2 linked regions of the Danio rerio genome follow. The protein of the gene in region 2 purifies or fractionates together with the protein of the main gene of each other region. This does not show direct contact. Links are inferred from orthologs where the notes say so. Each region holds a gene or a part of one and is shown on either strand. Other genes may lie near its edges.

Evidence for each region. Proteins that work in one complex are often made in the same cells at the same time.
Region 1: the proteins of irak1 (region 2) and peli2 purify together in Homo sapiens (affinity purification with western blotting; 7 studies listed by BioGRID and IntAct, with this or other methods). This does not show direct contact. The link is inferred for Danio rerio from reciprocal best matches to the Homo sapiens genes IRAK1 and PELI2.

What each region holds. Positions count from the first base shown.
Region 1 is NC_133192.1:49,057,967-49,061,624, forward strand, and holds part of peli2 (E3 ubiquitin-protein ligase pellino homolog 2), read left to right. Parts: intron 1-2,438; coding exon 2,439-2,636; intron 2,637-2,926; coding exon 2,927-3,115; intron 3,116-3,658. UniProt on the Homo sapiens protein: E3 ubiquitin ligase catalyzing the covalent attachment of ubiquitin moieties onto substrate proteins. Involved in the TLR and IL-1 signaling pathways via interaction with the complex containing IRAK kinases and TRAF6.
Region 2 is NC_133183.1:9,121,807-9,125,464, reverse strand, and holds part of irak1 (interleukin-1 receptor-associated kinase 1), read left to right. Parts: intron 1-31; exon of another isoform or gene 32-76; coding exon of another isoform or gene 77-147; intron 148-320; coding exon 321-435; intron 436-1,848; coding exon 1,849-1,961; intron 1,962-2,576; coding exon 2,577-2,784; intron 2,785-3,658.

The DNA.
Region 1 (3,658 bases), on a different chromosome or scaffold from region 2:
TGTTCGGTTGCTATAACAAGGGGGCTGAAGACCATGGCCTCTATATGTCGCTGGAGTCCCTTTAGAGGTCAAAGTAGTAAGGTTTACCCTCACAACACTTCACTAGCTGCCTTCTGTTACACTTATGCACTGTGTAGATATACATACAGAGAGTCGTATGTTGTCTTTATTTATTTATTTAAATAATCAGGAGATGAAGTCTAAACCCATATCATTAAATGTATATATAAATATTATTACTTGGTTGTTAAACTAAAAAGGCTTGTAATTGATTGTGGATAAAATAATTATTCTGCATTTAAAACCAGAAGATTTTTTTTTCTTTTGATAAGTATTTTACAAAATACAGCCCTTTTTAATTAATAGCAACAGAAACTGGAGTTTCTTTATTGCGTCAGATGTCAATTTTGTTCTCAGTTGATTTGTTGAATGTCGGTTTGTGATCTCCAATCCAGAACATAAAAGCAGCCCTGGAGCAGTTTAGCTATGCAGCATAGAATACCATCGCAACAAATAACGATTAAAGCTGAGCTTTCTTACTGGTACCGAAAATCCAGGATTGGTGCAAACCAAAACTTAGCTGACTTGCCAGCTAATTCAGCTTCATTGTACAAGCCCCAGGTCTGCACATGATGGAAAGAGTCATGCAGATGGGAAATGAGCAAATGAGAAGAAAAGCAAAAACAGGAACCAGCAGCAGTAGCCCACAAGGACAAAACAGAAACTCTCTCTATAAAAAGGAAATAAAGTGGAGAGCGTTGCGTCTTTTATTTCAGTACATGTATTTATAAACAGGATTTAGTGCAACGAGCACCTCTCTATTCTTGGGAATTTCCATCCCACATTTAAAACCAAAATAAGCTCTTCAAACAAGTACCAGCACATGCAGAACTATTTTCCATCCTGTTTACTCTTGAGGCTAAACGGTGTAGGGACCGTAATTGTCACTTGACTCAAACCACATACAATAGTTTGCTCATTTAAGAATTTGTTTTTGCTCCTCAGATTCCTGATATACCAAGATATGGATTGTTTTTAATTGATTATTTGATTCCAGTATAGGGTTCGGTGTTAAGTTTTTAAGTGAGATTGTATTACTGAACAATACAAATTAGATACAAAAACATTAACAAAAAATTGACAGTTACAGTGCTTTTAACAGCAGTCTACAAACCGGTTTCAAATGGTTAAATCTTTAGCATAAATATGAAATTTTTTTTGCCTTTTCTGCTAATAAACAACACATTGACTTGTTTTTATTGCATCATAAGGGTTTTGTCACAAAACTTATGATTATTTACAGTAGTGTTGCTGACGTCCATGATTCCACTAAACATTGCCATCTTCAGCAATGTTTATGTTGGTTTGTCATTGTTTTTTTTTGGACAGTGAATCAAAAAACAGCCTGATTCAGTTCTGACATCTTGTAGACCAGCTAAGTTTTGTAAAAACAGTTGAATGCACATTTGCGAACTCGTACATTGGTAACGTAGTGCGATAATTTAAGACTCCGCAAATAAAGCAAGCAGGTTCACAATAAAAATACAAGTTATAATACTTAAGGTTGCTGATTAAAAAGGAAACCAGTTGGCTTCATATAAAGAAACGTATCATTGATGCTTCCCTTGCCTTCAATTCCTTGGTGCCTCATTTCAGTGCCACTTAGATGCCCGTTGACTAAAATCTAAATTCTGATTTGGTCCAGTGCATATTGATCATATGTACTGCTGCCAATGTTTCTCGTGCAAGTTCTAAAGTGATGGTAAAGTGACAGCTTTATTGTGCTATTCATTAAATGGGCAAAGTGTTAATGTGTATGTGTGTATATTTTTTCAAATTTAAATGTACCATCACAGCAGTGCTTATGAATTTATTTTAAATGAATTCCAATGAAAACGGCTATTTTGGTGCATTTGTGTTAAATGCAGCCCGGGTTAGATTTCAAAAGACTTTATTTCAAATTTTATTGATCATTAACTTTTAAACTGTATTGTGCAATATATACTTGTTTTTACTTCTACCACTAATATTACTGTATACAGAGTACCCACGCTAAGCCAAATGTCATGACTTTTACTGACTAAAATGATGTATTTTCATGACCTAATAGCACTTGAGCAGATTAAGAAAAATGTATCTTTAATCACGTTCTCATGTCACTTTTGTTAAGGATACAGTGCTAAAGCCCAAACAAAGATAGACTGGAAGTTCAAATGAATTAATGAAGTATTTTTTTTCAATTAATAACAAAAATCCCTGGCAGTCAAATTACCTGAAAAAGAATAAAAAATTCAGAAATTCCAGATAGCCCATGATCTGTGGTAACCCTGTGTTTATTAAAAAATGTTTCCCATCTGAGTCATGCAGTCACAGCAAGCTGTCTGTATGACAATATAAGATGTATCTGAGAATCTTTGAACTTGTCTGTTGTATCTTAGATCGGCCGATCGACGGAGGGCCCGATTGACTTTGTGGTGACTGACACTGTGTCAGGGGGAGGAGAGAGTGAGGAGACACCCATCACTCAAAGCACCATCTCCCGCTTCGCCTGCCGGGTGGTGTGTGAGCGTAACCCACCCTACACCGCACGAATCTTCGCTGCAGGCTTCGATTCTTCCAAGAATATATTTCTCGGAGTAAGTGCGGTTTTTATGCCTGGTCCTGAAATGGAATTGTCTGAGATGCATTACTAGATACTTTATCAAGCTATTATTTATAAATATATACTGCTGTCTGGGGAGTAATATACGTGTGCATGAGCTGTCTGGGGAAGTATCCACTTCTGCTGATCCTGTGGAACTGATCTAAACTTACCTGGTAAATATAGGTGTGTCTGGCTAACTGGAATGACTCGCCCATGTGTACCTAAAAACAAAGTGCGGTGCACATATTTTTGTTTATGTACAGTAATTAAATCTCTCTGCAGGAAAAAGCAGCCAAATGGAAGAATCCAGATGGTCACATGGACGGTTTGACTACCAATGGGGTGCTAGTCATGCACCCGCGGGGCGGGTTCACAGAGGAATCCAAGCCTGGTGTGTGGAGGGAGATATCAGTGTGTGGAGATGTTTACACACTGAGAGAAACACGCTCTGCTCAAACTCGAGGAAAATTGGTTAGTATGTGAGCGGTGTCTGTTCAGTGTAGTTTACCGCCTGTTTTCTCCAAGTAGGACATGTTCCTGGATTAACATCTATGTTGATCCTGGAACAACATTCGAATCAGCCAATCAGAATTAAGGGATACATTTACAGTTTAAGTTTAAGCTTGCGGTTTGGTTTTTGCACTTCTGCTTGATTGTTATACAACTATTATTCCGCTCAGATTTTGGGAATCATTTAGAATTATGGTCGGGTTTAGGAGTAAGGACTAAGTATGGATAACATTTTTGATCAAAAATGATGTTCCAGGATCAACATAGATGTAAATCCAGGATCTCGTCGTACTTGGCAAAATCAGAGAAAGGTCTGGCTGCAGACTTGGTGCAGATGCAACCTGAGCTGCATCCAATGCTTTTTAATGTGCTCGCCTAACCCCTAACCCTACTCCCTTACAGTGATGTCACTAGCTCCATTTAGTGCATTGTTTCTCACATTGCATCTCTGAGCGATGCAGTCTCAGCTTGCATCATAAAGGCTGCGTCCAGATACTATTGCAA
Region 2 (3,658 bases):
TGGCTGAGATTCATTTCTGTTTGTTCAACAGACTCGCAGAAAGGGATTTCCCCGCTTGAAATTTTGATTACTCTTTATGCACATCACCACACCTCTTCATGACCCAAAAAATGAGTCTCCAGCCCACTCTTCAAAACTTTTTCTGTGGTTAGTTTGAATCTTTTTGTCATCTTAGTGGGTCATTTGTTTCCCCTGACACTTCAGCCAACACTTTCAAGCCTTGCTTTCCTCAGCTATTGTAAAGCCTAAATGTTTAGAATAATTTATAATTAATAGTTTGACACTTTTTTTTTTTAATTACTCCCTGTTTTATTCCACAGGTACAGACATCCCAACATTATGGACTTTGTTGGCTACTGTATTTCAGGACAAACTTACTGTGTCATATATGTTTATATGCCCAACGGCTCTTTAGATGACCGGCTGCGCAATGAGGTAATTTGCATTTCCATTCATTCGTTTTCCTTCGGCTTAGTCTCTAATTCAGAGGTCGCCACAACGGATTGAACCACCAACTATTCCAGCATATGTTTTACATGGCGGATAAACCGCCAATCACAACCCACTACTGGGAATTACCCATACACTCTCGCATTCACACACACTATGGCCATTTTAGTTTATTCAGTTCACCTAGAGCACATGTCTTCGGACTGTGGGGAACACCAGAGTAGAGGTCTGCGCAGGACAGATTTTTAAGTTTTGCTCCTGCCCGCACCCGCAATGTTTTATTCCACACCTGACCGCTCCTGCTGTATATTCAGCCTTTGTTCACCTGCTGCCCACTTAGAATCATTTTCTGCCCAACCGTTCCCACTAAATTTAGATCTGGTTTCCAAAATCTCCTGTTTAAATCGGGTACTAGCAATAGAAAGAGATAACAAACAAAACTGTGGGTTGTGCAAGGACTGTAGGCTAAATGTCTGCAATGAATGCAAGCTGAAGGACATCGCATCTTCACTTTGCTCTCCCATGTTCGTTAAGCCTGCTCTGAGGTTTGTTATGCAGGTGATGCGCGCACAGACTGCGCAAATAAAAAGCACGTGCAGAAAGCACTGGTCATGCATTCAGTCTGTTTAGATCAGTGATCTGAAGCAAAGCAAAGTCTCTTTTAAGGGAAGTCTGTTCATTTGGCCTTTGCTTTACAATACCAAGTCCTATGTGTTTTCTAAAATGGCAAAATCTACTTTATGAATCTAAAGTTTTAAAAATTCTAAGCACCAGTCTTGTGTGTTCCTGTGTAAATCAGAGCTTCTAATGGCAGCTGAAGGGACTTTACCAATAATGCCCTTTTGTTTAGGCGGTGGCGTCACGTGTATCAAAGAATTTCTATTATAAGAAAATGTATTTGCTTTCACTTCAACCCTTTCCAAAGCTGCGTGAATCCTTTTTGAATTATAGTCTATGGAAAGCCCCTATGTGCTTATTTTACATATAGTGAAAGTGAACAGAGCTGTCAAGTCAATGAGCACCACAAAGCTAGTCTGTATGACTCACATTTTAAGTGTTCTGAGGTCATGCAAAAGAATGAAAGAAAATCACCTTGTTTGTTGAGCTCTTTAATCTCAATTGCAAGTCTGTACATTAAAATAATGATGCATCACAATATTGTTTCACAAACTCTTCGACAAGATGTGGCATGTCACTGGTTTTCCTGGATTGAATATATGGATATACACTTAGTACTTTTATGATTGTTACGTTTTGCATCATGCAGTTTTATGATGTGTAAATAAGCCCTCAAGAGAGTGATTCTTGTAATGACATATTGATAAAGTTTTCATTTATGTTGGTCTAGTTCTGTCCGGTCTATGGGTTAGGTGTTATTCTCTGTTTTTTTTCTTTCAGGACAGCAATGCCCTCTCTTGGTCGCAGCGTGTAAATGTGTTGCTGGGAACTGCAAAAGCTATTCAGTACCTGCATTCATGCTCACCTGCTCTTATTCATGGAGACATCAAAAGGTGAGTGCAAGAATATGTATGATACATTTCAAAAGATTGAGCTGATTTCTTTTGTTTAAAAACAGGGCTTTTATTCTGCAAGGATGTATTAAATGAATAATTTTTTTAAATAAATAATATGAAGTATGTCACAACAAAAACCATTCATTTAAAATAAATGCTGTTCTTTTGACATTTGGATTTATCAAAGAATTCTGAAAACAGAATCATGGTTTGGTGTTACTGGTTTCACATCAGAAATCAGAAAGAGCTTTATTGCCAGGTATACAACAGAATTACAGAGACTGGACAAAAAAACTGATAGTAAATATACTTAAAAATAGAAGTAAGTAGTGAATGCAAATATACAAATTGGCAAGTGTACAGGTATATTACTATATACAACATTATATGTGCAGCTGTCATCTGCAAATTGTCATGTAAAGTATGTTGTTAAATAAATATGCGTATAAAAAGTAATGATGTTTTTTTTTGGGGGGGGGGGGGGGGGGGGGGGTAAATGCATTTTTTCATGTACGTAAATTAGTTTAAATAGGTTGCAATTGTCATTTTATGTAAATCAATAGGTGGCACCACCAGGCTTTTCACAAACCAGTCGTGTTCCCTTTATTACAGCTCTAACATCCTTTTAGGGGATCATCTTGAGCCCAAGCTCGGGGATTTTGGATTGGCGCGTTTATGCCGAAATCCTAATAAAACCCCAGGCAAGACATCCACTGTGGCTCAGACTGCAACGGTACGAGGAACTCTCGCATACCTCCCGGAAGAATACCTCAAGGATGGCCAGCTTGGAGTGGAGATTGATGCCTACAGTTTTGGAGTGGTGAGATGCATCACAGATGTTCATTGCGAAGACATAGCAGTAATCAGGGGTGCACATCAATTTTGGAGCAAAAGTGTTGATCTTATTGATCGACCAGATTTTAATGTGGTGCGTCAAAAAAACAAGCCGGAGACATAAAAATGGCCCTTTTTATGCTTGTCGTTTGCTCATCGGTGTAGTACTGAATGCCTTTATTTAATAACATAATTAACTAAAGAAACCACAATCTCTCTTGGCTACATTTCTTAGCTAGAGTTTTGTTTAGGACCTTAAATTGTAATGTTTAAGGAATAAATCAGATTCATGCCTTACCACACAAGGTATCTTGATGGGTTCTGCAAAGTATTCCAATGTCCACTCCAGTGAAGAAAATTAATAAAATATCATTTTATTCATAAATCCAGTTAAAAAGAAGAAAAAAACAATCACAATAGCAAAACAAAATCCTTAACTTTATCCTCTGTTGAGAATAAAGGGCCTAAGACATTCATTATACAGTCAGTTTAAGCGCACTGCTGGTCTGTCTGCACCAGCCTTTTATACGGTATTCCAGCCTTGAATACAGGCATAGAAATCCCCTCCAGTAAAAACACCGCAAAGTAACAATTAGTGTCTGATGTACGATTATCTGTTCTGATATTCCTGAGAATATTTGTTAATACATAGAAATCCCTTTCAGTAAATACACAGCAAAGTAGCAAGTAGCGTCTGATATACTTGAGAATATCTAAAGTTTGATATACTTGAGTATATCTGTCAATACATAGGAGAAATCCCTTTGTGTTCACTCTATAGGGTGACGAATTTGAATACAAACATATCAAAGCATTTCTTCTATTACATCAGCATTTGGTCATTCATTTATGCAGTCTTC